7 linked regions of the Macaca fascicularis genome follow. The protein of the gene in region 1 interacts with the protein of each later gene in a pairwise test. Links are inferred from orthologs where the notes say so. Each region holds a gene or a part of one and is shown on either strand. Other genes may lie near its edges. The genes, in order: CDC5L, YWHAZ, TRIO, KIF5B, DISC1, GOLGA2 and MYT1L.

Region 1 (3,783 bases):
GGCTTTGAAAGTTTCCATAATATAGCTTTAGAAAGTCTTCCTTACAGAATGTGAGGGGAAAATTCACATTTGATATAAAATCAAGCTACAAAGGCTGTATCTCTATACTGAAATTCTTTCAAATCAACGTATCAATGTACCAAGAATGTAAAATAGCAGTATTTATACAAAATTGGAGGAGGAAGACTGAAAACCAATTAAAATATCACACAGAAATACTCCAGTGAGCCACAAGATCCCTAAGAAAATCTAAAGGTGTTGTGTTAGTAATTTTACCAAAATAAATATCCTAAGGTGTACTAAGAAAAAAATTAAAGACAAAATTTCAATTTAATAAATATCCCCACTAGGAATGTCAGGATACGACAAAATTAGTTTATGCCCAAGAATCTTGTGTTGATGCAGCCAATGTGCTCACAGGGGGAAAGAGTTCTTCTGGTCTCCTAAGTCCTTTCTTCTGCACCATTAAATCTGTCCAATTCTACAAAGCTGTACTACTCAAAACAGAAAAAAAAGAAGGTTAGCTAGGCACAGTGGCTCACACCTGTAATCCCAGCACTTTGGGAGGCCGAGGCGAGTAGATCATGAGGTCAAGAAATCGAGACCATCCTGGCCAATATGGTGAAACCCTGTCTCTACTAAAAACACAAAAATTAGCTGGGCATGGTGGCGCACGCCTGTAGTCCCAGCTACTTAGAAGACTGAGGCAGGAGAATCACTCGAACCCGGAAGGCAGAGGTTGCAGTGAGCCTAGATGGCGCCACTGTACTCCAACCTGGCGACAGAGCGAGACTCAGTTTCATTAAAAAAAAAAAAGGTTACTCTAAGGTCCCATGTTTCTGATCAACTAGAATAAGTAAAAAGAAAACAGCCTGTAACAAGCTGAATGAAAGAATGTTTGTATCTTTTCTCCACAACTCCTACATTGATTTTCGTAACTGTTGTCTCAAAAAAGACAAGCAAAACACAACAAAACATTCCCTGGGAGAAGGTAGCTTAAAGTCCACAAAGCCAAACCACACCTTTACCCTTGTCAGCTACAAAAAAGAAGCCTAAAATCCTAACCTGTTGACAAAATGTTAAGAGCTGACGATTACTTACCAAACCATCATATGAGCAGTTTAAGACCTGATACAATAATTTATACAGAGAAGCTGAAGCTATCTTATCATACTATATCACAATTACTTGTGGGTTTTTCTTTTTCTTTTTTTTTTTTTTTTTAGACAGAGTCTCACTCTGTCACCCAGGCTGGAGTGCGGAGGCACGATCTTGGCTCACTGCGACCTCCACCTCCAGGGTTCCAGTGATTCTCCCACCTCAGCCTCCTGAGTAGCTGGGATTACAGGTGTGTGCCACCACGCCCAGCTAATTTTTGTATTTTCAGTAGAGACAGGGTTTCACCACACTGGGCAGGAACTCCTGTTGTCTTGAACTCCTGACCTCAGGTTATCTGCCCATCCTGGTCTCCCAAAGTGCTAAAATAACAGGCATGAGCCACCGCAGCCAGCCCACAATTACTTGTTTTTATGTGTGTCTTACCCATTAAACTGTGAATTTCTTAAGAGCATCCAGCACAAACCTGGCACACAGGCCTTCAAACATTTGCTGAATAAATGATATAAGCATATAAATTCACATAGTGAAAAATTTGCTTTTATCAGATTACCTGAGGGGCAGGAAGTACTAGTTTGCTTCTCTTTTTAGTAAATTCAGAAACACCACTAGTTTGAAGAATAGCTGATGGTAAATCAGATTCTTTTTTCCTTTTCAAATGCTGTTTGTCTTTTTTTCTATCTCTTCCTTCTTTTTCACTGTCATGGATCAAGGTAGAAAAGACATTTGTAAGTTACATATAGGCAAAAACATTAAAATTCATACAAATACTCATACCCTTTGAACAAACCAACCTCATTTCTAAGAAAATAACTAAAAAAGCCGGGTGCAGGGGCTCACGCCTGTAATCCCAACACTTTGGGAGGCCAAGGTGGGTGGATTACCTGAGGTCAGGAGTGCGAGACCAGCCAGGCCAACATGGCGAAATCTCGTCTCTACTAAAAATACAAAAATTAGCCAGGCGTAGTGGCGTGTGCCTGTAATCCCAGCTACTCGGAGGCTGAGGCAGGGGAATCACTAGAACCTGGGAGGTGGAGGTTGCAGTGAGCTGAGATCCTGCCACTATACTCCAGCCTGGGCGATAGAGAAAGACTCCATCTCAAAAAAAAAAAAGAAAAGAAAAGAAAAGAACTAAAAAAAGGCAAAAACAATATGCATTAAGTGGTCCCCTACACCATTACTTACTATATTCAAGATAAAAGCAAACTCAGAATAGCAATAAAATTATTAATAACATACCCTAAGTAATTGAAGTACTAAATATTAAAACATATAAGTATGAAGACTGTGATAAGCAAAACATTCCACATAATGTCAAAAGAAAAACTATTCCTATATTATGAACATTCAATGAAAATGTGTGTGCACATAGGAAAAAGTATGACAAGTATGTAAAAAGGACAATGTGTATGAAATAAATAATATTAAAATATAGTATTTAAATTTCCCTTTAAAACTTACTAAATTGTCATGATTCTTAAAATTCACAAGTTTTTTAAAAAGGCTGTTTTAATACTGACAAGCAACATCTAAACATGATTAAGAAGCCTAAAGACAGGCTCGAAGCAGTCTTTCAAAGCTCCAGGAATACCTCCTCCCCTTCTGCGTCTTTCTTGCCTCCCCCACTTAGTACTCCTTCCAAATCAATAGTTTTCCTGTTCCGTCTCTTTATTTGTACAGCCTACCTAAAGCAAAGTCCTAATTTGAGGAATAAATACAATGGAGTACATCTAAGAAAATCCTATTTTACAATGGCCGATAGCTGTTGTTTTGTAACAATTCATATCAACAGAAATTAAAGGTCAACAGAGCAGAAAACTTTTAAAAATCCTTGACAACCATAAAATACTTTCCCTACAATATTCAGATATGAGATTTAAAGAAACTAAAATTCTCAAGAAATAGGGAAAATCTGCTATCTTCTAAAACATAAAGATTTTATAAAAGTGTATCTATCCCATCAAGTGAAAGGATCAGTAGTTTTTTCTTTTAATTTCATCTTAATAAAAACAAAATTTTTCACTAGAAAAGACTAAAAGGGCCAGGCGTGGTGACTCACGCCTGTAATCCCAATACTTTGTGAGAGAGGCAAAGGGAGGACAGTTTGAGCCTAGGAGTTTAAGGCCAGCATGGATAATATGGCAAGACCCACCTCTCTACAAAAAATAAAAAATTAGCCAGTCATGGTGGCACACATCTGTAGTCCCAGCTACTTGGGAGGTTGAGGTGGAAGGATCACTTGAGCCTGGGAGGTGGAAGATACAGTGAGCTGTGATCATGTCACTGTACTCTAGCCTGGGTGATAGAGTGAGGCCTTGTCTTAAAAAAAACCAAATTTTTTTAAAGACTAAAAAAACCAGACTCAATTTTGACAGATTCCAGCCACCAGTGAAACTAACCTATTCATAAAAGTACCTAAAAGTTAAGAAGTGATTCAAAGAGTAAACAGTCAATTAAGAGTCACGCACTTCAACTTAAGAGCCATAAACAGCATTCTGTGCTAAAAACATGATAGCCAGAGTCCCTGATTTTCTCAGAAAGATGAATCCATTAAATAAATAAAACCATATGTAGGCCACATTGTACTAATAAAAATCTAGACCAGGCACAGTAACTGATGCCTATAATCCCAACACTTTAAGGAGGATCGCTTGAGCCCAGGAGTTT
Region 2 (4,409 bases), on another chromosome or scaffold:
GTCAGGGAGCCCAACCTACTGCAGAGTGTTAATTCCCCCCTCCTCCGACCGAAGCCAGAGGGAGGAGCAGCCCGCGCCCCCGCCCAAGCCGTGGCGCGGCGGGTGGGGGGGAGCGAAGCCGCCCGACCCCGGGGCAGAGACGCCACAGCCGCCCGCAGAAGCGGAACCACTACCAGCCCCGCCACGGACACACCCCGCTCTCCCACCCAGCGCCTTCCCCGCCACCGATCAGCGCCGATGCCCGTGTACAGCGTCTCTAAGGGACCGACAGCTGCAGGTGGGGGAGGGGACGAGAGCCACACCCAGCAGAGCGGGCCACCAGCGGCTATGCTCAGGGTCACCCGCCCCCAAAGCAGGATATGCGTCCCCAAACCGAGCGCAGGGAACCTCCAGTTCTAGTCCATCACGCACGGAAGCCGACGGCGGGCTCCCCACCCCGCTCTCTACCCCCACCTGGACTCGCAGCCCCCGTCCGCACCTCCTCCGCCCGTTCGAAAGGAGCAAAAAAAGTCAGACCCATCCCCCACCCCCACCAGGAAATTTCAAGTCCTTCCTCCCACCGCGGAGCCCACGAAATTCAGCTCTAGGTCGCAGGAGAGCCCCACCCCAAAACCTCACCCCGCAGTGTGCTCCCCCTCGCGCCGGCGCGCGGCCTCGCCCCGGTCTACCTGGCGGGCGCCGCCGTGCCAGGCCTGGGCTCCGGCCCGCTCTCGGCCAGGCCTTTCCCTCGCTCCTGGATCCCCGAGGCCCCCGGCCCCTCCCCGCCGCGCCGCCGCCTCCCGGGGTGGGGGAGGGCCGGGTCCCGCCGCCGCAGCGCCCAGCGCAGAGGCTGCGCGAGGGGGAGGGGGGCGGGGGAGGGGAAGGAGGGGGCGGCCGAGGGAGAGAAGAGGGGGCGGCCTCACCTGCGCCACTGCGATGCCCGCCGCCGCCGCCGAGTCATTATCTCGGGCGGAAGCGAGAAGGGCGACGAGGGAGGGGGTGGGAGCCCGCAGAGACAAGGGTGGGGACGGATCGCGGCCGGCGGCGCCCCGGCCATGCCTCGTCCACCTTTGGGAGCCGGCGACAGGGGGATCCCCAGGGATCTCGCGTGTGGGCGCCCTCCCCACCCCCGGGAGCAGGACGGGGGAGCGAGCACCGATCGGCGCCGGGGCGTCGATGCGGAAGCAAGGAGTCGGAGGCGGCCGCTAGCCGCCCGCCCGAACTCAGCGGAAGAGGAGCCGCCGCCCGTGTCCGCTGAGGAGACTCCGCCTCAGCCCGGCGCCGCCACCGCGGGGCTAGTGGGGATGAGAGGACGGAGCGAGGACGGCTCCCACGCGTTCGGAAGGCTGGCCTGGGACAGGAAGGAGCGGGGCGCGGCGGCGGCCAGGTTCCTCACCTGTGTCCGGAGTGGGTGGTGGCGGCGGACAGACAGGGGCTCAGCAGTCTCTGGGCGGCGGCGGCAGCAGCAGCGGCGAGGCTGAGACTCTGTCCCTGGATCTCGCTGCTCACAGGCTACAGCCGCTCCGCAGACACGGGGTTTCCTCCAATCACCAGCCCCGGCAGCAGGGGCACCACACGCACGATGACGTCAAACGCTGCTATGGCAACCGTTGATTGGTGCCCACAGCGATCTGGGCCCCGCGCAACCGCCGCTCCCCGGCGCGCGTCTTGCCCGCCCGCGCTGGAGGGCGAGCGGAGGCGCGTGCGTCCTCGCCCGCAGCCGCCACTTCTCCCACCCCGCTCGGCTCCCAGCTCCTCTACGCTTGTCCCGAGTGCACCTAGGCAGGAAGCTTTTTTTTTCTTTTCCCGCAAACCCCCCCACTCCTCGCCTTCCCCTTGGGTCCCCGACGCCCTCTCTCTCCCTCTCCCCTGTGGCCTCCGCCGGTCCACTCTTCCTCTCAGCCTGTGGGAAGGCGCTCTCTCCCTACCCCCACCTTAGCTTTCGCTCAGGCCGTCTGCGCTTGCCCCAGTCACTCCCTCTGGAAGGGGCTCCCGTTCAGCAACATCCGGGACCTTTCACATCCCCCCACCTCTCCCCGAGGCCCGGCCCGCCCCGCCCCGCCCTCCGTGCTTCGCGGTAGTAACTGCCCCGGGGCCGTCCCCGGGCAGGATGACGAGGGTGGCTCGGCGGCTCCGGCATTGTGATCAGGACTTGCGGGGTGGGGGCCGGGCGCGGTCGCACGGCAAGGGAGGGTTGTGTGTGGTGCGCTCCCCCCGCCCCCCCGCCGCTCCCCTTGCCCGGAGGGGCGCGCGGCCCCTCCCGGTCTCCCTCCCGCCGCCGCGGCTTTACCTGCTGGCTTGGGGGAAGCGGCCCTAGACCTTTTATGGCTCGGAAACGGGAGTGAGGCGTCCAGCCCGAGTGTGGCTGAGTGATGGGGAGGCGTTCCAATCGAGAGCTCGGGATCTGCGCTCGGTGACTGCCCGAGGGGACAATGGGTGGGCGCCGAGGTGGGGACGAGATGGGCCGGGCCGGGCCGGGCGGAGCCGGCGGGAGGTGAGGCCTGGAAGGAGGCGCGTCCGCTTTAGGGAAGCCAGAGTTCCGAGGGGAAAGGACAACCTTCTCTGGCGGAGGGCTGGAGCTGGTCCTGGCAGCCTTGACCCGGAGACAGGCAGTCAGGCGTGACCGCACGGACCCGTTTCTCGTAGGCTAGGTTTTCCTACCCAAATAAAGCTTTCACGTGAAGACCTCATACTGCAGTGACTTAACACATGACTATCATTACCTTTTTGTCTCCTAGAAGCAAGGTTTGAGGGACGTCGTAGTCCCCAGGGTTCCAGCTGGCGGTGGGAGTGGACCACGGGCCGGGTGATGAGCGAGGACAGTAGCCCGGAAGAAGGGGAAGGAGAAGGGCGGAAATTGCAGGTGCCTGAACGGGTAGGGCCTCCGCCCAGTTGACTTAAGGAAGTTCAGAGAGAAACATTCACAGTGCGCTGCCCCTTCACTCTTTAAATGTGTTCGGGCTAAGAAAAGGTTAGTGCCTGGATGACCTGCAAAACCACTTGCAACAGTCATAGAGACTGTACGGTTAGCAATGAGAGCGCTTGGAACTCTTTATTTTACCCTTGTGTAAACTCCTCATTGATTCTTCCAACGTATCTTTATTGAGCTTCATTTAGCCCCATGTTCTCTACAGAATTTAGTTTCTCAGTAGTAGACACGAAATGACTGAGTCCTCGCTCTTCCAGTACATTGTCTTTCTTGCATAATACAGTGGACCACAAAGCTGCTCTACAAATTACTTTTTGCTTGACATGACAGCTGGCATTTAGATAGTACAGACCAGAAAGAGAGTTTCCAGTGACCAGTTCCATTTCAGTGGGTTTTTTGTTGTTGTTTTTCACAAGCTGCCAAATCACAAATTCATGGTAGGTTAAATAGATGAACAAATTGGAGTTTTATTTCTGAGATGTTAGGGTCAACTAGCTTTGACTCTCAAGTAAATTCTTTTTAGGGCGTGACTCACTTAAAATGACTAATATTTCAAAAGCTATTTTTTTTAACAGTTTTTTCCAGTTTTGTGGTAGGCACCAGAAATTTGACAGAGGATACTAAGTTAAACGTTTTTTAAAATGGAAATTCATGTTTCTTTAATGTCTCAAATATATGTCTATGTAGCGTGTATGCCTTTTGTTTCAGAGGAGGTTAAGGGGTTTCTCTATAAATTGTGAGTTTAGGAAAGAAAGAGCTAAGTTAGGTTTTTGCCTCATGCTTTAATAGAAAGGCATTTTTTAGCGCAACAATAGGCACTGTTAGGTTTTACGTACTCAAGTCAACGTGTCTGCACAATAAAGATACAATGAAGCTGCAAGAAAGGAACAGGGGATGTTATGAAAGTCCTGAGGAAAAGATCTTTCAAGAAATAAGGAATAACCTATGGCATACAGAGCAGAATAAATAGAACCTATGAACCCTGGGAACGTTGCTGGAGACTTTCACTAATACCCTGACCTGTTTTATTTTCTTCAATGCGCAACTCTTACCTCACTCAAGTTGGTTAACCTCTATGTGCTTTGATAGCCACGGCAATAAAATACTGGCAACAAAAACACTTAACTCATTAGGTGATGCTGAGGATTAAACGAATATACACATACGTATATTTCTTACACAGAGTTACCTAGCTATTATTCATTTGTAAATGGATATATCTGATTGATATCTCTAGTGTTCAAAGGATTGTAAAGATAAAATGAAACTATTCTTTTTGATTTTTAGGGAACTTCAGTAACAGAAAGAAACCACATTTTTAAAGTATCTTTTAGAAGTAGAAATGCCTATTTGTGTTTCTCAGTGCTAATGAGACATGAGTGATGAGAGTAAATATTGATTCATTCCTCTATAGGGGACTGCAATGATCTCGTCAGAGCTATACATCAATATATAATGCTATACATTAAAATGAGAAAAAGGCCAGGCACAGTGGTTCACT
Region 3 (4,491 bases), on another chromosome or scaffold:
CTCCCACACCCACTCATCCAACAGAATGGCCCCTCTCTGCCCCCTGCTAGACATCGTTGGCCTAGATGCTAGAGCCAAGATCTAGGTCAGGGACTCAGAGCTGCCCAAAGGAGATTTCACTTTTAAAAAGACGTTCCAGGCTATCCCCGGAATGGGACGCTGCATCTGATGATACCTACTTAAGTTCTGCCCTGGCTCGTGGTTCTAAGTGAAACAAGTAAAAGTTAAGTTTGTCATTTCAGAGGGGGGAAGAAAGGAACAAGCCAGTGAGCAACATTACCTGGTTCTGACCCAAACGGAACATGAACAGGAGCCCCAGCGGCTGGGTCAGCACAGGCCTAAGCAAAGCCAAGAGCAGACGACAACTCCTGGAGAGAGTCACGCCGACAGGCAGCAAGTCTTCGGTGTCTTTTAGGGAGGGCTCTTAGCAGCAGAAGTGATTTTTCTACTATGCATAATAGAGATGTAAAAAAGCCTGGTCTCACAAGCACCAAAAAATCCATCTCCAACGCAGAAGAGCCTTTCTAACAGCTGTAGAGGAGCTGAATTCTGCACAGAATCTATTATTCTGTGACAGGTGGTAGAGAGAAAAAGAAGACAGGCTAGACTTTAGCTTCAGGGCATGAATGGAATACGTCCCAGTTCTGCTATTAAGAGGTAAGACGGGGCTGCTCTACCTGGCCAGTCGCACCGGGGAAAAAAAAAAGGTGGGGGTGGCTTTCTTTAGAAGGAGCTCATGTTTTCCTAACCTTTGCTTTCTGCAGGGACCTCACAAGGAGAGTGAGCACTGGGGAGTAGATTAACCCCAAGCTAACACTGGACAGTCGGCTGTGTCACTCCTAGCCACAACCAATCTGCTAAAATGAATCAAAAATAACCCCGCCTAGCAAAGATCAAGACAACCAAGGGAAGACAGTACTAAACCAGGTATCTACCAGCACTGCTAACTTCTCACTCTCACCATCGCCCTCCCGCTGCAATTGCTCCTTGTGACCCGGATTGTGGAACTGATCTCACCGAATCTGGGGAGGTGATTTTCAAAGAGGCCACGGAAAAGCGTGAGCCGCCGACCTCCCGCGCGTCCCCCAGGGCAGGGCTGCTCCCCTGGCCCGTCGGTGTCCCCAGCCCTGCCGTCCTCCCCGGGGCCGCCACCAGCACCCCCGCCCGCCTCTCCAGGCCCCGACCTGGCCCGCCCTCCTCCGCTCTCCAACGCAGAGTCTGCATCCTCCCTGCCCCGCACCCGGCCCGCTAAGGATTGCGCTCTGGGCTGCGGGCCCCGAGGCCGCCGCCGCCGCCGCCTCCTCCTGCTGCTGCTGTTCAGCCGACGCGCGAGCAGACGGGACTGGGCGCGGGGACGCGGGACACGGGGACGCGGGCCCGGCTCGCGCGGGATCTGGGCCGGGGCGGGAGGAGGCGCCGCCGCTGGGGTACCGGGGACGCCCTGTCACGCCCCCTGCGCAGCAAACCCGGCGCCCCTCCCACGGACCGGTCGCCACCCGCGCCTCTCCCGCGGCCACCTCCTCCACGCCGGGGTGGACTCGGGGCCACCTAGCACTGCCTCCACCTCCACGCCACCCATGCAGTGCCCCGCGAGCCCTAGTCCCGCACTGCCCCCCCGGGGCCACGTTCCCAGCTGACCCTCCCGGATCGTCCCCGGAGACAATGGCTCACCGCGCCTCCCGGCCCTCTGAGCTTCAGCTCGGCCACCGTTCCCATTCCCTGGGCAGTGAATGCCGTGACTGCCCCGTTTCACAGAAGTGTAGACCGAGGCTGGGGAGATGACAGGCTAGCGGGCCAAGCAAAGAAACCCAGCTGCTACTGGGATCGAGGAGGGTCCAGGTACAAATCAGGCACAAACAGGCACAGATCAGAGACCAATTTCCCGTCCCGGAGCGGCCCCGGCTCAGTCCGCTCGGTCTCCGGGGTAAGAGCCTCCGCCCACGCCATCTCCTCCGCCGCCGCCTCCTCGGTCCTCCAGCGAAAGAGACAAAGAGCCGGCGCCCCAGCCCGCGAAGCCGCGGCTGCCGGGAGCGGGAGACCAGGGGATTCTGCCCTGGAACGAGGGCGGGTGTAGGGAAGGCGAAGTGGTGGCGTTCGGGCCAAGCTGCCGCGCGCCGGGCTGCGCGGGCAGCGGGACACGCGGATGTGGGGCGGGCAGCCCCGGCGCGTGGAAGCAGTGGCCCCAGGCGAGAGCGTGCGGGCCCCAACGGACGGGTGGGCACCGGCGCGTGGTGGCCGGAGCTTGGCAGCTCCGCGGCGGATGGGCCGAAAGCTTGGGGCAGCGCCGCTGGGCTGGCCAGCCGCTGTTGCACTCACCGGATCGGAAGAAGGCCGCGATGTCGGCCAGGTCCTTGGCCGCCTCCTCGGCCCCCTCGCCTGCACCGCCCCCGCAGCCCGAGCCAGCCGCGCTGGCCGCCGCGGCGGGACCGGAGGACGCGGCGGGGGCGGCGGCGCCGCCGCTGCTGCCGCTCATGGCTGCGGCGGCGCCCGCGGCCGCGCCCGCCTCGGGCCCCGCGCCCCTAGCGCCGCGTGCCGCCCGCTCTGCGCCGGGCCTGGCGGCGCCGAGCACCCAGCTGCCCGCGCCCGGCGCGCGGACGCAGAGCCCCGGGGCGGCGGGGGGCGGCGGCGGCGGCTCGGCCCAAGGAGCGCGCCCACATAGACGAGGACTCCGCCCGGTAGCCGAGAGCTGGCCGAGGGGCGGGGGCGCGGAGCCACGGCCTCCGGGGCCCCGGCCGGAGCGCTGGCAGCAGTGCGCGCCGCCCGGACGCGCAGTCGCGAGGGCGGGGGCCCGTGGCCGGCGAAAGCTCCGGGATCACGGGCGCCGGCGACTGCCGCGAGCCTCCATCTTGATTTCAATGGGGAAGGAAGGAGGGGGAGGGGAAATCACGGCCGAGGGAACCCGGGTGAAAGGAAAAGGGAGAGCAGGGAACGGAGAGGAAGGAAAAAAAAAGAGGGGCTTCGGGAATTTCCGGCGAACCTCGTCAGGGGCCGAGCGTGGGCTCGGCGGTGGGCGGAGCCTGGGGGGAGGAGCGGGGCGGGAGGGGCGGTGCCGTGTCGGGCTGCTGGGCGCCCGCAGGGCCGGCCGGAAGGCTGCGGGAAGGTTCGGTTTGGTTCGGTCTCCCTCACCCAGGCAGCTGCAAGCCTTGAAAGGATCAGGAAAGCTCTGACCAGCCCGAGCGGACCTTCTCAGGCCCGGCATTGCGCCCCCCACTGGGGCCCTGGCTCCTGCACCGGAGCGCTGTCCCCTGAGCGCCGAAGCGTTTCGTCGTCTAGCCCGCAGGGCGGGGTGACGCGGTCCGGGGCGGGTGCCTCCCTCGTGGGCGCAGCGCCGGCCCTGGCTCGGGGAGGGGGCTTCTTAATAGTTGTTGAGTGAACAGAGAGGGCCTGATAACAGGTTATCTACTCCAGTCCTGGAGTCCACGATACTCCTACGGGTACACAGCTCTCCTGTAAGATGGGATTCCTCTCGGTGTATCCCCATCTCCCAGGGGACTTTAGGCTGCTGAACCTCGGGTTCACGGCTCCTCAGTCCTTACTCCGCCAGAATGAATGGGGAAGATGACGAGGTCTGGGGAGGCCAAAAAATATGGTCCTTTGCAGAAGATCCGTGTCAAATCAGCGCTGGACGAATATTCTAGTTCAAAACGCCTATGCCCCGGCTCCAAGGAGAGTGAAAGGATCCACTGTCGGGGGGAAACGGAAGCAAGAGACGGAAGCAAGAGATATGAAAAGCAACTGGGTGGTGAAACCACCACACGAGTATACTGGAAATAGACAAATATAAATGGTGGATGGTGGCTATCAAATCTTCACCGTTGGAGTGGGAGGTTACAGCCAGGAAGAGGCTAGAGTGATCCTTGTGGTACAGAATTAGAGTTGGAGACATCGGTATGGACTCATGTTTGGGGTCTATATCTATATTATGTATTCATATATATATAATGGGTCTGTACAGAGATTTGTAGATAGAGGGTAGTACACATACTTGTATCTCCTTGCTTTGTCAGCTGAGTGGGCCTAGACACAACACTGTAGCAAGGAATACACCTAGCACTCTGATCTTGCTTCTAATACCATTCTCCAATAAAAGGAACCAGAGCTCCTTGAGGAAATGGCTGATTCTAGGACTGGAACAGGAAATACTCAAGGTGTGCCTGGAGCACCTTGTGCCAAAAGGTGAGGAATTTGCTCCCCCCGTGAAAAGAAAAATTTTTAATCAACATCAGCAGTGGTGGGGGTACCTCAAAGGGACACAGGAGCTAATTGAAAGCGCTCCCAGTGGCCAAAGCTGAAACGATTTGAGCAAAAAAATAAAGCAGAATGTGATTATAACCAAAAGTATGAAATAAACTATCCATGAGTCCATAGTGATGAAAATAAATGATTAAGCAAATAAGTGGGATTAAGTAATATATAATATACTATTTTTAAATCAATTGGATTAACTAAATACATTGGGAACAATTCTAAATAATTTATGTAGATACTGTG
Region 4 (3,783 bases), on another chromosome or scaffold:
GAGAATGGCGGGAACCCAGGAGGCGGAGCTTGCAGTGAGCCGAGATCGCACCACTGCACTCCAGCCTGGGCAACAGCGTGAGACTCTGTCTCAAAAAACAAAAAACAAAAAAAAAAAAAAACAAAAAACAAAAACAAAAACAAAAAAACAAAAAACAAAAAAGAGGGGGAAAAAAGATACACCCTCATACAGTTTCCACATAGAAATTATGACTTATTTTGTTAATAATTTTTACAAGATTAACAGAAATCAAGGAATATGTATAAAGATCCTAAGTGCCCACAGCACTAAAATATGAAAAATTAGAAAATAAAAACACTCATGTCAATAGTATCCTAATATAAAACAGACCTAAATCGGGAAATACCTACCTTGTCATCAAGCTGTTTGTATAATTTGGCAATTTCTTCTTCACACTTTCTTCTTTCAGCATCAGTAAAATTTCCCATAACTCCAATTGTGGTTGCTGGTTTATCATTGGTAATAGCAATATCTTTATCTACTGTGAAAGCTTCCAAATTGGCTTTCTCTTTGTCAAACTGTTCATCAATAGGCACCGTCTCCCCTAAAATATGATAAAGTGGTTAATAAGAAACAACATGTCTAAAACTAATTTCAATTTCATTCCTTTAAAAAAATTTTTTTTTTTTTTTGGAGACGGAGTCTCAATCTGTCACCCTGGCTGGAGTACAGTGGTGCAATCTAGGCTCACTGCAACCTCTGCCTCCAGGGTTCAACCAATTCTATTGCCTCAGACTTCTCATTAGCTGGGATTACAGCTGCCCAGCACCATGCCAGGCTAATTTTGGTATTTTCAGTTGAGATGGGGTTTCACCATGTTGGCCAGGCTGGTCTCTAACTCCTGACCTCAGGTGACCTGCCCACCTCGGCTTCCCAAAGTGCTGGGATTACAGGCGTAAGCCACTGCACTCAGCGTCGTTCTTTTAAACTTTTTATTCTCTGATTGTGTTATTTTCAAATAATCTGTCTTCAAGTTCAGATGCTTTCTTCTGGTCAATTAATTCTACTACTGATGGTCTCTACTGCATTTTGCTCATTTTATTTTTCAGCTCCAGGATTTCTATTAGATTTTAAATAATTATTTCGATGTCTATTAAATTTCTTGATCTAGTCACTTACTGATTTTGCTGAACTATTTCTACGTTTCTATGCTCTAAATCTGTATTTAACAAACTTAAGATGACAAATTCTTAAGTTATTACCATTACGCCATCTGTTGAGTTCATTTTCAAGCCACTGAATGGTGTTCCGCAGGATCTTATTTTTTTCTTTTTCTTTTTCATACTTCTTTTTCCACTGTTCTGCAGTTAATTCCACATTGACACAAACTGTGTTCTTAATTGTTTTGGCCCTAAGAGATGTAATTGGAGGAAAAAAGGGATGAGACTGAAATTATTTTTAATTTTATCTATATGGAATATATGTATATATGGCTAAGAAATTTATTCTTGTCCAATAATCTCTTAGACTAAATACTAAAAGACACAACCTATGAGGTTATTTACAACCCAACTAAATTTGAGTCTGCTCCAAAATCCGTCAATAGCTTAAAAAAAAAAATCACTAAAAATAAAAGACAAAGACCTATATTTTTCCAATTTGTTTGCAAGGCTGAATTAAGAAATTACTGTTGAAAGTCAAAGACGGAATCATCATTACTGATTTTCCTAATCATCTCATATAGATGTTAACCTGTCATGCATGTCTACAGGCCTAACACAGGATTATGTTTGCCAGGCTTTTACATCATTATTTGAGTCAAATGCTTATTTTCTTTAATACCAAATTACAGCTTGTCACATAAATTTGACTAAAATTACATCTGACTTTAATGTGTACTAAAACTTAAACCAAGCAGTATCAAAAACAGGCCCATCTTGTATTATCTGTCATCAATTCAAATTGAGTGTGTCTAGCACAAAACAATATGTACAGGTTGGAATAACAGCTCACATTTTCCTACATTTTATAAACAAAAGGTCTATCTACATTTAGGTTTTGTACTTTCTTAACAACAAACCTTTGGCCAAATAAGAGTGTAGATTTTGTTTCAGATTCATTGTATGATGATGGAGAGCAGCAAATTACAATAGTGGTTCTACAGTTGCCACCTAATGAATCTTGAAGGATTCTTGTCATTTTACTATCTCGATATGGAACATATGTCTGCATACAAAAACAAAGAAAGAAAACAAGACCAGTGGGTTTCTGTACAATAAAATGTTATAAAAATATGCTACTTTAAATAAATTAAAAGGTTATTTCAGTTAACTATTTGATATTAAAATGTGAACTAGGATATACATACAATATTATAAACTCCCAAAAGACAACTAACTTACACATACTGATTCAAACACAGTGAATCTCTCTCTCTCCCTCTCTAACACCCATGCACACATATACACCTATATTTAAATAATGCCCCGTAAGGTAACAGGGAGATAGAAGACATGTATACTCACACTACCCTCAGCCAAAGCAGAAATGACATTTCCAAGAGCAGAAAGTGACTTGTTAATGTTTTTAGCTTCATCCAGCACAGCACCTTCAGCTCCAGTTTTACTAACCTATACATAAGATTTCAAAAGAACGGAACAAAATTACAAAAATTTTCTTTAAATTTTCTAAAATTTTCAGAGGTCATCAACAACCAGTAAAAAGAAAAAAGAACATGAAAAGCTTCATGATCTTATTTGCCAAGCATTTACTCTTAGGTACCACCATTTCTTGAGTACTACTCTTAAGAGTTTGATTAGAGAGACATCAAATTTTATCTGTAGTTTGTAGGTACTCTTGAAAATAACCACTTTAAATGTAAATTTGTAGTTCATTAATCTTAGTCCCCTTTGCTACATTAGAAAAGAGGAAACTTCTAAAACTGGCTAATGCATAATGTTGATGTTGTAACTATTAGAAAACAGAGACTGAGTTTAAACTCATTATATAAGCAAACCTGCTTCTTCTAAAAAAAATAAAATAAAGTATCTAAATATCTTTGTTGTGTGGCTTTTTTTTTTTTTTTTGAGACTGAGTCTCACTCTGTCACCCAGGCTGGAGTACAGTGGCTCAATTCCGGCTTACTGCAACCTCCGCCTCCTGGGTTCAAGCAATTCTCCTGCCTCAGCCTGCCCAGTAGCTGGGATTACAGGCTTGTGCCACCACGCCCAGCTAGTATCTATGTTAAAGATAGGTCAGACCAATAAATTAGCAATGTTGGCTGAAGAAACAACTTAGGAGAATTCTCAACATTAGATAATCTTTGAAAGATGTGTATAAGACTTCACAACAGAACAGAACAGATGTATCATTCTAAGCAGAAGAAACAAAATTAGCACAACAGCAAAAATGGTCACAGAGGTCCCTATTATAACATTCAAACTTAATTTGATACAGACAAGAATCAGACTGTATAGAATTGTAATAATGAAACAATCATCCAAAGGAAAGAAGCAAGTCCAACCAAACCAGAAAAGACTAATGGACAGTTACCAGTTTTAATAGGGACCCCGCTGGCCAATATGGATAAAATACATATCAAAAATTAGAAAAGGGATACCTAATAAAGTTTATAACAACATACACCGAACAAGTTCTCACCATGAACACATCTTAAGTCACAGAAACTATTTATGAGTTGAACTAGACTATGGTCAAACAACAGTAACTTGGAACTGATTATTCAGTTGATGTCATCATAAAGCAATGGTATCAGCAGTTACAAATCTCAGGTTACCAAATCCAATTTGATAAGTTTTCAAG
Region 5 (3,783 bases), on another chromosome or scaffold:
ACTCACCTGCCCAAATACTTCAAAATTTGCAGCAGGGAAATGAACACACTATCTACTAGAGGTACCAAAGAACCCTTATTTGGGGTTCAAATAATTCAAGGCAGTTATTAACTTGCAGAATTTTCAAATACATCATGACCTCACAGAATTATTTCATGATGGTGTCTGTGTAATACAAAACACTTGGGCTAGTGACGGTTAAGATGTCTTATGTCTGGGAGGCTTTTTAAAAAGATATATGTCGAAGTAGGAATTTGTTATTGGCAATGTGGCCAATCCTGACTCTTCCCAAGTTTTGCTTCACTGGAATTAATTCAAGGACTCCAAGTGCCATGCGACCAGTTCATAATTTTCTTTAGACACAATTATAAATAATTGAGGAATTTGGTTCATCATTGAAAAATGAAGTCCAGGAACAAGCTAATTATACTTATTATTAAAATATGTAGAGTGTATTTTGCTCAAGATGAAGCCATAGGGAACACAATCAGCACATTCACATATTGTGTTTTTGGTTTGTTTCCTGGACCCCAGCCAATTGCTGGCTTCAGCAGGGCCATCTCCTTGACTGAGGACAGAAGTGCGGCACAGCATGGAAGGCTGAGCAAAGCACCAGATGCCTTCTGGAAATGCCAGTGTGACTTCAGGAAATAACAAAAATGGCCTCATATCCATGGATCCTAGTGAAGGCAGGAACATCACTGTCCCTAATCACATATATGAGAACAGAAGCACAGACAGAACAACCACTGGATTAAATTTACCGATCTGTGGCAGGTAGTTATTAAGCTCAACACTCTGCAAAACTGTGAGTGTGGTTTCTACAGTGATGTAAATCAGAGTTTGGACTTGGACTTCCTCAGAGAATGCAGTGCTGTACAATACTAGATCTGTGGGATATGAATAGGAGTTACATGAGAAAAATTCACGATCCATTAAGCTTGGAAAGTTTGAGGTTAGATAAAATCAAGTGAGTTTACTTACTATAAGTTCTCTCTCAGACTAATATGCTAATGCGCGTTGTGGTTCTCCAAGCAGATATTATGGTATGGTGTATTTATCAAAGGCACTTGACCGGAGAGGGGACTCCTTTGTTTAGAGAGCATCTCTTGGGGCCACCTTCCTCAGTGCATTTTGGGAAGTGCTGCCTAATTGAAATCAGCCTGTTTTGCAGCTGTCTCAATAGGAGTCCCAGCTGGGCCAAAGAAGCAGCCCAGCAGGAGCCTGAAATGCCCTTGCATTATTGAGTACTGCACTGATTTACTAAGTACTACATTGCCTATACTTATAGTACTGAGTACTAACTGCCCTGTGTCACTGAGTTCTGTGCTGTCCTACTGAGTACTACACTGTGTTACTGAGCACTCCACTGCCTTACTGAGCACTGCACTGTGTTACTGAGTATTGCACTGCCTTACTGAGTACTGTACTGCCTTGCTGAGTACTGTACTATATTACTGAGTACTGCACTGTTACTGAGTACTGCACTGCGTTACTGAGTATTGCACTGCCTTACTGAGTACTGTACTGTATTACTGAGTACTTCACTGTGTTACTGAGTACTGCACTGTATTACTGAGTATTGCACTGCCTTACTGAGTACTGCACTGTATTCCTGAGTACTGCACTGCCTTACTGAGTACTGTACTCCCTGAGTACTGCACTGCCTAACTGAGTACTGTATTGTATTACTGAGTACTTCACTGCCTTACTGAGTATTGTACTGTATTACTGAGTACTGCACTGTGTTACTGAGTACTGTACTGTGTTACTGAGTACTGCACTGCCTTACTGAGTACCGCACTGCCTGAGTACTGTATTGTGTTACTGAGTACTGCACTGCCTTACTGAGTACTGCACTGCTTTCCTAAATGCTGCACTGCCTGGCATTGAGTGAAACAGGTTCCACGGGAAAACAGAACAGGCTCAAACATTTTATACAGGTTTCCCCTGATCCATCCACAGCCTCACTGTGGGTAAATTTCATAAATTTCCTGATGAAACACAGACTCTCAGGGATCCTTTCTTCAGGTGCAATCATTGCCACAAAAGGAAAATTGAAAGGTGGCATACCACTGAGAGGCTGCTGTCTTACCAAAATATCTTTTGAAAGTTGCGTATTAATTTTTCTAAGATAATATTAGATCACAGGAGAAGTAAGGTGAAAAGCTGTTAATTCCAGACTCTGAGGTTAATTAGCTCTCTTAGATTGTGCACCTGTAGGAATGTGTAACAGGTATGATGACAGAGTGTTATGCTTGGTTTCCTTTTTATAGAATCTTGAATCAGGAAATATTTTAGTCGCAGCAGAAGACAAATGCTACAGGGAAAAGAGACATTTTTCCAGAATTCACCCCAACTTCTCTCTAATGGGGGCTGAGATGAAAATATTCTCAAATCCTGTGCAAGCCATTCCCATGAATGACATGGAAGAGAAATTTTTGAGTGACATTTGGAAGGAAATTCAGCAAATCCGTCTCTCTCTCCATATTCCAATTTGCAGACTCCTCAGACTCATGAGAATGAACATGAGCCACCTTTCCACTGAAAGACCTCAAGGCTCTGTATCTCCATAATTAACTCAGGCACATTAGTTATGCAGGGGGAGGGGATAGCAGCCCCCCAGGTCCAAACTGTTGACATGGTGGCCCACCTCCCTCCCCCATCCCGTCTCTCCTCAGGCTTGTGCTTCCCGGACACCAGCTGTCATGCAGGAAGCTGCGGCTTCTCTTTCCCCCGCCTCCTTTGCCGGCTGGAGCTGCAGGATCATGGCCTGCAGAGTTTCCTTCACCATCTGGAGCTCCCTCTTGAGAGACTGTGGGCACGTTGTTAAGGAGCACATTCGAAGGTGATGGTGGCCCTCTGCAGCCTCCAAGGGATCGAAGAGCACGTGAGCCTACTGGAAGCAGATGGGCACTGCCACCTAATTGCAGTTTCAAGTTCTTTCAAATTGTATGAATTAAATATTAATATAAATTTTATACTTTTTCTTTTAAGAATGACTGCAATTTCTACAATGCCTGAGGTATTGACTATCTCAAGTCAGGTCTTAAAAAGGAAATGGAAGAGTCAGCTCTTAGCCGAGACAGATGGCCAACTTAGATGCTCAATGATATGCAGTTGGCGTGACCATAACTCCGGCTAAACCCCAAGTTGGGGCGGGGCAACTGTCAGATGCAAATACTCTTGACAGTGGAAAGGGCAGAATGCTTGAAATCAAAATCTCCTCGAGAAATACAGGATTTGGGGTCACCATAAGTCGGGAGAGGCATTCTGGACCAGACTCAGTTATTAACACGGTCTCTGTTCACCATTAACCAGTCTTGTCACCCTATGCAAACCGTTTAAAGCCTTAGTTTTCTCTTGAGATGATGACTTTGAAACCCCTCCAGGTCTAACCTGCTGTTACCTGTTAGTATATTCCCAGGGACTAGGAAGGGCACTCAAGACTAGATAGAGTCCATCAAAGGGCAGAGAGTTTGCCTTTTCCGGTTTGGTTGGTTGGTTCTTTTTTTTTCTTAAGCTGTTGGGCTCTTCGTTTTCTAACCTATAAAGTTATTTCTCATATGGAGGAAACAATCAAAGAGAACTTAGCAAACAGTAATAGATAAGGCTGTAGTTCTCTTAAGAAACGGGTTCTCGTCTGGGTGTTCAAGCAGGGGAATGTTTAACCAACAGTGGTTTTTCTGTCCATACATCATCCAGTTCATCCTTTCCCTTTTTACTTGTAGTCAGAACAACTCTAAGGCAAATGCAGGGTGAGAGTTGGGTTTAACAAGCAAA
Region 6 (3,783 bases), on another chromosome or scaffold:
GGAAAGAAACATTCTCCAGAGGACAGGGCGGAACTTCACCCCCTCCACTCACCTGTAACTGCTCCCTTAGGGCTCCCTGCTTTTGGTGGCATTCTTTCTTTTCCTACAGGAAGAGGAAGACAGAGCTCTTACTAGGGGGAGGCAGAGATGGCACAGCAAGGGACATGCCCCCAGAATGCCACCAATGCCCCAGGACCGGCCCACCCATGGGACCAGGTTATCAGGGACCCTGTGGGGATGGGGTGGAATCTTGGGGGGTGAGCCTTCTTCCCCAGGCTGGGAGCGGGTGAGACGAGACTGAGGCCTCTACATTTGAGTGCCCCCCAAACCCAGCTGTCATGTTGTGAGCAAACAAAGAAATCACGTTACTTCTTCCAACTGATCCGTAATTTCTTGGTTCTGTTGTTTCTGTGGGGAAGAGTCAAAGGAAGGTGACTGAGGGTGGCCCCCTCAACCCTATTCCCCAGACCAGGAAGGGGTAGGCAGGAGCCAGGAATGGATTTTAAAGGCAAAGTTCTCAGACCCAATGGGAACACGAACTGCTCAACTCTCCTCAGGCTCCCAAGGAAAGGGGATTTGTGTCTTTGTTGGTTTTTGCCCACAACCACAGAACTGAAAGTCTGAATCTGGATTCTCTTGAAAGGACAGTAACATAAACCTCTAGAGATGGAGTGTGAGAAAAGCCCACCCTCTGCCAGTTTGTGATTTAGAAAGGTGTATTCATTCAACAAACATTTGCTGAGCACATATAGGCCAGGTACAGTTCTTAATAGCAGGGATATCAGACAGAAAAAGACAGACAGGAGCCCTTGGCCCTGAGGTTTACATTCTAGTGGGCCTTTAAATCTTCAACGCTCAGAGCTAAGAGACCTTTGATACTCTCTAACTCTACCTCCTCAGGAAATGCAAGCCCAAGAAGGAGAGGTGGCTTGTCCCGAATCCAAGAGCAAATTAAGGACTGAGTCAGGGTGGAAATACGGGGCTCCTGACAACCAGTCAGGCTAGTGCTTCCCCAAGAGGCAACAATCCCAGGGCATGTGTGGCAAGGACTCGAGCAGGGGTGTCTAGAGAAGAGAGAGTAGGCAAAGAGGGCAGCAACAGAAGAGCCATGCTGCATGCTCCGTGCTCTGGGGTCCCTCCAGCTGAGGCCTGGGCCCCCCAGCTCCCCATTCGCCCTTGGCACCAGGGGCCCCCTGCCCCTTTCTTCAGGGTCCCAAGGGGAAACTGGAGCCCAGGATTAGCAGCGTGGAATCAGGGGACCCCACTGGACTCTTACCAATTTCTCTATCGTGATATTGAGTTGTTTGTTTGTTACATAGCTGGAGTCCAGGGCTACCGCTAGCTGTTGGTACCGGCTCTGAGGCGCATGCAGAGAGGAGGAGTTGGAGGAGGATTGGGGGGAGAGGTAGAGAGAGCAATCATTAGGGTTGGGGGGTGTGTGGGCTGTCTCAGCTGGCAGAGGGGCACCCAGCCCCCGCTATGGGAGGAGGTTGGAGGGCTGGCCTGCAGGGTCACTGGGCCACGGCCCAGGGCCTCTTACCTCCAGATCCTTCAGGTTAGCAGATGATGCAGGGCCCTCCCCATTCACACATGTCGTAGACTATAAGAGACGAGAGTGCACATGGAGATGTTCTGTCCCCTCAGTGTCTAAGCCCTCTGACTTCCTTTCTTCCCCAGCAATTGGCAACATTTTCTCTTCTAACTTGGACCCTTTGTCCCGTAACCCCTTTGTGCCAACTTCTCTCATGGTTCTTATTTCCCCACCATCCTTCCCTCCCGAGCACCTCTCATCCAGTGCTTCTGCAGCAGGATAAAATGATGCAACCAGTCACAGGGTCCAACTCCTTCATGTGCACAACTTCAAGGGAGAAAGCTCAGGGAAAAGCCGACTTCCTCAACATTGCCCAGCACATTGGCTGGTCCAGGATCTTCCCTCTCTTGTGAATCCCTGCCTCAGTTTCTTTCTATCATAGTTCCCTTCCCCCCGCACCCCACTCTGGGCCTCAATTCCTGAGGTACCTCACAAACAAGACCATTGAGCTGTTGGGAGAGTTGTCGCAGGCTCTCGGTTGATGAGAAAGTCCTAGGGATGGAGACACAGGGGTCAGGGGTGCAGGTGGCTCAATGGGAAAGAAGGTCATGGGCAGTGGCCTCCCTGACTCTCTCGGCCTAGAGACTGCTGCCCCAACAGGAGACACTCACTTAGTTTCATCCATGAGATTAGGGACATTGTCAGCATCATGATTCTGTGTGGGAAGAAACGTATGAGATGGTCATTCAATGTCTGCTAAGAATCACCCAGGACAGGGTGAGTCAAGCTCCCAAACTCATTCCAACAATCTTCCATATCCCCAGACCTCAAGAAAAAGCCTAGTCTGAGCCTTCCCCCAGCCCATTCCCCAGGAAGAGCCCTTGGCCCTAGGGAACAAGCTACCTGTGAAAAGAGAAGATAATCCATAGTAGGTACAGGAGGGGAGTAGGCAGAGGGGGAGGAGGCACAAACCTGAGATACCGCCATGCTAGTGAGACTGGCACCAGGGGAAGGGACACCGCCAGGTAACACAGTGTCATCAGACGGTTGTAGAGAATCAGCATTGTCCTTGGGTGTCTGTCACAGAACAGAGCAGGGGGTTAGGGGGCCATGCGGGATAGAAGGTGCCTCAGTGCCATGAACACAAGGGTGTGGAACAGGTAGGACAGGTGTTGCTGCAGTCAGTGACAGTCACACATGCTAGGAGCCACTCAGGGGTGTGGATATGGTTGCCCAGGCCTTGGGCTGCTAGGCAGCATTTCAGATGGCCAAAGCTCAAAGCAGGGGCTGCACGGCCTCCTTCATGAACACGAGGACCTCGCTCTCTCTGGAGCTCAGCAAAAGACAGCAGCAGGCACTGACCTGTGGCAGCCACAGCAGGTGGGAGGAAGGTGTGCCAAAGTCAGGGAGGAGAAAGGCACTGTTCTTCCAGAAGGCCAGTCTGTGCTGCAGAGTGACCCTAACTGGGCCCCTAGTGGGCAGAGGATGGTGATGAGGAAGTAGTTGTCTGGGCAATGTAGCTATCTGCCTGCTTCTCTCCTCCTTTCCTCCCTTCCCTTCTCCCCTGCAGTGGCACAATCATAGCTCACTGCAGCTTCCACCTCCTGGGCTCAAGCAATGCTCCCACCTCAGCCTCCCTAGTAGCGGAGATTACAGGAGCACACCACCATGCTCAGCTAATTTTTATAGAGATGTGGTCTCGCCATCTTGCCCAGGCTGGTCTCAAAGTCCTGGGCTCAAGTGATCCTCCCACCTTGGTCTCCCAAAGTGTTGAGATTACAAGTGTGAGCCATTGAACCTGGCCTATTGGCTGTGTTTCTGATTCAGACCTTTCCAGGAAAAAAAAAAAAAATTACCCAACTAGAAGCCTCTCCCCAACTATCTGGAGGTAAAAGGAGAATAAACCATGGCTACCACCCCCACCCCAACCTCTTACCTCCAAAAACATCTACCCAACCAAGAAACCACCCAAGAAAACAGAGGTAAGACATCTGCCCTATGGCTCCTGGCAACTTGGAAGTTATGGGGCCTCTTTCCTGGGAATTGTACCTGGGGACAATCCTAGGATTCAGAACTTGGGGTCACATGGAGCCTCTCCCTCGCCCCCAACTGGACCTACCTGCTTGATCAGAGCCCCACCCGGCCTCTCTCGAGGCTCTGGCCTTACTCTTGACCCAAGCCTCTGGTTCTAGAGGTCTTCTAATATCTGACAGGCCAGATGGGCAGACAGCGGAAAAAGCTGGCTGATCAGC
Region 7 (3,032 bases), on another chromosome or scaffold:
GAGGGCCGGCAATGGGGAGGCCTCTGCAGGGTTCCCTGAGCACAGACAAGGGGCTGAGGGGCCTGGAGCAGCGGCCATCTAGGAAAGCCACCGGGTGCACAGGGCAGGAGCCACCATCTGCTCAGGGAGGTGCCCATCCTGCTGCTGGCCTTCCCCCTGCGTGGGCCCTTTAACAACCTTGGGACCTGGGCAGTGGCGCCTCACCCGAGATTAGATTCCATCATAGAAAACCTATGTCTCTTTACACTGACATCATCTCTAGTGAGGTCCCAGCCACAGCTGCCACCAGCTGTGAGTGCAGGCACGTGGCCGCCCAGGAAGGGTTACAGAACGCTCTGGAAGACGAGCACGAGGCACGCAGCCCTTCGGGGCCCACCCAGGAGTCGTGGGAGGGCAGGCATCCACTCCTGAGCCTGCAAGGGGGCAGCTGGGAGGGGAACAGTAATTTGATAAATAATCCCAAGGAACACAAATGAGAAGGTCACCAAGGACGTGCATGGAAACAAAGCTGTGTGATTTCGGTGGGTTCTCCACAGGGCACCATCCCTGCAAGAATGGTGGGGGCTGCGATTCCTTCCAAGGAGAAGGCCCACCCTCCCCACTTCATCCTGGAGGGTATCTCCAAGGGGCACCAGTTTTCTAACAGAGGGTCTGTGCCTGGGGCTGGTGGGAGAACCCGGGATTTGACCCAGTACAGCCAAGGGAGGGCCAGAACATAGAAGACAGGACCAAGAGGGAGAGGAGGAGAGACTCTCATGAGAGGACTTGGGAATGACACGTCGGGGAAGGAGCGGAGAGGAGCGGGTAGGCCAGGCCAGCCCTGGACTCTGCGGGTCAGCTCGGTCTTCCAGAGAGAAGCCCCAGATCACGCACGGCAGAGGCACCCCTGGGTGGCCGAGGCAGACACCCCCACGGACAGGGCAGCTCCCTGCCTGCTGCGTGTGAAGTTAGTCCTGTGCCGTTAGAGGCCCTGACCTTGACCTTGATGATACTTAAATTATCTCTGGAATATGCAAGGAAGGGTCCGCGGTGGGCCTTTTTCCTTAGAGAAATGCAGGAAGACCACCCTGTGGGCACAGTGCCAGCCCGGTGCCATCTGAAGAGATAGTGACACCCCCACACAGAAATGAGCATTGGAGGACTTAGCTGTGGCAGAATTTGATTCAGGCTAGAAAGGAGAAGTATTCGCATCAAGTCAGTAAAACACTAAGCCCCCACACACTGCAGTCCCGTCAGGCCAGCTGAGAGAACAGGATGGCGCAAGGAAACAGTCCCACTTCCCCAGTTGTCAAGTGCAGTGAATCCAAAGCATAGACAGCAGGTCCTTAAACGGCAAGCGCTCACCACTGAAGCCTTTTTCTTTCTTTCTTTCTTTCTTTTTCTTTTTTTTTTTTTTTTTTTGTGAGACGGAATCTTGCTCTGTCACCCAGGCCGGAGTGCAATGGTGTGATCTCAGCTCACTGCAACCTCCGCCTCTCTGGTTCAAGCTGTTCTCATGTCTTAGTCTCCCAAGTAACTGGGATTACAGACGCCCGCCACCACGCCCGGCTAATTTTTGTATTTTTAGTAGAGACAGGGTTTCACCATGTTGGCCAGGCTGATCTCAAATTCCTGACCTCAAGTGATCTGCCTGTCTTGGCCTCCCAAAGTGCTGGGATTCCAGGCGTGAGCCACCGCGCCCGGCCCGAAGGCTCTCTCCTTCAGCGAGAGGCCCCTTCTTGGCACCCAGTAGGCTGTGGCCCCCGGCAACGGCCACGGGCTTCTAGGTCCTCCTGGTGTTACATGTCACACGCACTTGTGCGTTTCAGATTACCACGATGGAGAGCAACCTGAAGACCATCGAAGAGGAGAACAAAGTGATTGAGCAGCAGAACGAGTCCCTCCTCCACGAGCTGGCGAACCTGAGCCAGTCTCTGATCCACAGTCTGGCCAACATCCAGCTGCCACACATGGTAAGTGACTGAGCGCGCAAGGCAGGAATGTGGAGTCCTCACAGCGCACAGCCTAAAGTAGATGCCGTTTTTGTTGTTATTTTCATGGTTCTTCAGCCTTTGGCAAATGTTTGTGGTTACCACCCCGAAACCATACCGTTAACTGCTAGAAACATGGGCGGGGCTGACCCCATAAACTTAAGTGTGCTCTGAGCCGGCCTTTGAAATAGTATAAAACCAAGGGCACTATGCTATGATACTATTTTATGCTTTTGTAAATATACTATTAAGAAAATAAAAGTTGTATATGAACTACTATTTAATATCTCGTAGGATCCAATCAATGAACAAAATTTTGATGCTTACGTGACTACTTTGACGGAAATGTATACAAATCAAGATCGTTATCAGAGTCCAGAAAATAAAGCCCTACTGGAAAATATAAAGCAGGCTGTGAGAGGAATTCAGGTCTGAACAGCTGCTGTAGTGATGAAACTCTTGCTTAAAAAGGATGCCTCTTGTTTTTTGCTGCTGTAACTTTCCAGAAAGTGTTCTATATTTATTTCTGTTTGAAACAGTGTTATGCTTACAAGACTTCATAATGATTTTATGTCTTGCTTTAAAGATAGTACCTGCAGAATAGTTTTTGAATACACCCACATTTTGTACGTTTCCATGTAAGCTGACATAGTGTTCTGCCATGTAATGTTTATAGCTGCTGATGTATGCACATTTGGGGGTATATCTATTTCTGAAGAGGTAAGCTGATCAAAATAAATAGAGTGTAAATTCTTTTTAATGCTTTAGTGATTAAATGTTTTAGTATTTTGAACTGAAATGGACACACACACACACACACACACACACACACACAGCTTTGAATGACCATGTTGTGGCCAAGCAGCCGCTTTTTAGACGTTATCATTTTGCCTCATGTTGGAGGACTTTATGGAATTTAAGAAATACATTTTGTGTGCATATTGTTTCATAGCAAGAATTGGTTGCAAAAATGCTTTATTTTTGAACAATGCTTGGAAATATTATGTGACTTTTTTGTTTGTTTGTTTTAGGAGGATGGTGTATGGTGGGGGCAATAAATGA

What was found.
Region 2: the proteins of CDC5L (region 1) and YWHAZ interact in a two-hybrid assay, tested with the Homo sapiens proteins (2 studies listed by BioGRID and IntAct). The link is inferred for Macaca fascicularis from reciprocal best matches to the Homo sapiens genes CDC5L and YWHAZ.
Region 3: the proteins of CDC5L (region 1) and TRIO interact in a two-hybrid assay, tested with the Homo sapiens proteins (2 studies listed by BioGRID and IntAct). The link is inferred for Macaca fascicularis from reciprocal best matches to the Homo sapiens genes CDC5L and TRIO.
Region 4: the proteins of CDC5L (region 1) and KIF5B interact in a two-hybrid assay, tested with the Homo sapiens proteins (2 studies listed by BioGRID and IntAct). The link is inferred for Macaca fascicularis from reciprocal best matches to the Homo sapiens genes CDC5L and KIF5B.
Region 5: the proteins of CDC5L (region 1) and DISC1 interact in a two-hybrid assay, tested with the Homo sapiens proteins (2 studies listed by BioGRID and IntAct). The link is inferred for Macaca fascicularis from reciprocal best matches to the Homo sapiens genes CDC5L and DISC1.
Region 6: the proteins of CDC5L (region 1) and GOLGA2 interact in binary tests that used the Homo sapiens proteins (3 or more experiments, as listed by UniProt). The two-hybrid records come from large-scale screens. The link is inferred for Macaca fascicularis from reciprocal best matches to the Homo sapiens genes CDC5L and GOLGA2.
Region 7: the proteins of CDC5L (region 1) and MYT1L interact in a two-hybrid assay, tested with the Homo sapiens proteins (2 studies listed by BioGRID and IntAct). The link is inferred for Macaca fascicularis from reciprocal best matches to the Homo sapiens genes CDC5L and MYT1L.

Annotation. Positions count from the first base shown.
Region 1 is NC_088378.1:127,107,440-127,111,222, forward strand, and holds part of CDC5L (cell division cycle 5-like protein), read right to left. Parts: intron 1,815-3,783; coding exon 1,670-1,814; intron 1-1,669.
Region 2 is NC_088382.1:110,578,388-110,582,796, forward strand, and holds the start of YWHAZ (14-3-3 protein zeta/delta), read right to left. Parts: upstream 2,817-4,409; 5' UTR 2,703-2,816; intron 2,481-2,702; 5' UTR 2,270-2,480; intron 1,494-2,269; exon of another isoform or gene 1-1,493.
Region 3 is NC_088380.1:14,798,047-14,802,537, reverse strand, and holds the start of TRIO (triple functional domain protein), read right to left. Parts: upstream 2,858-4,491; 5' UTR 2,474-2,857; coding exon 2,317-2,473; intron 819-2,316; exon of another isoform or gene 765-818; intron 658-764; exon of another isoform or gene 518-657; intron 1-517. UniProt on the Homo sapiens protein: Guanine nucleotide exchange factor (GEF) for RHOA and RAC1 GTPases. Involved in coordinating actin remodeling, which is necessary for cell migration and growth. Plays a key role in the regulation of neurite outgrowth and lamellipodia formation.
Region 4 is NC_088383.1:32,759,475-32,763,257, forward strand, and holds part of KIF5B (kinesin-1 heavy chain), read right to left. Parts: intron 2,592-3,783; coding exon 2,487-2,591; intron 2,188-2,486; coding exon 2,042-2,187; intron 1,373-2,041; coding exon 1,224-1,372; intron 566-1,223; coding exon 372-565; intron 1-371. UniProt on the Homo sapiens protein: Microtubule-dependent motor required for normal distribution of mitochondria and lysosomes. Can induce formation of neurite-like membrane protrusions in non-neuronal cells in a ZFYVE27-dependent manner.
Region 5 is NC_088375.1:17,053,911-17,057,693, forward strand, and holds the end of DISC1 (disrupted in schizophrenia 1 protein), read right to left. Parts: intron 2,817-3,783; coding exon 2,678-2,816; 3' UTR 350-2,677; downstream 1-349. UniProt on the Homo sapiens protein: Involved in the regulation of multiple aspects of embryonic and adult neurogenesis. Required for neural progenitor proliferation in the ventrical/subventrical zone during embryonic brain development and in the adult dentate gyrus of the hippocampus.
Region 6 is NC_088389.1:15,712,779-15,716,561, reverse strand, and holds part of GOLGA2 (golgin subfamily A member 2), read right to left. Parts: intron 2,609-3,783; coding exon 2,504-2,608; intron 2,247-2,503; coding exon 2,203-2,246; intron 2,084-2,202; coding exon 2,020-2,083; intron 1,601-2,019; coding exon 1,541-1,600; intron 1,358-1,540; coding exon 1,277-1,357; intron 409-1,276; coding exon 370-408; intron 104-369; coding exon 53-103; intron 1-52. UniProt on the Homo sapiens protein: Peripheral membrane component of the cis-Golgi stack that acts as a membrane skeleton that maintains the structure of the Golgi apparatus, and as a vesicle thether that facilitates vesicle fusion to the Golgi membrane.
Region 7 is NC_088387.1:120,355,698-120,358,729, forward strand, and holds part of MYT1L (myelin transcription factor 1-like protein), read left to right. Parts: intron 1-1,808; coding exon 1,809-1,952; intron 1,953-2,264; coding exon 2,265-2,405; 3' UTR 2,406-3,001; coding exon of another isoform or gene 3,002-3,028; 3' UTR 3,029-3,032. UniProt on the Homo sapiens protein: Transcription factor that plays a key role in neuronal differentiation by specifically repressing expression of non-neuronal genes during neuron differentiation.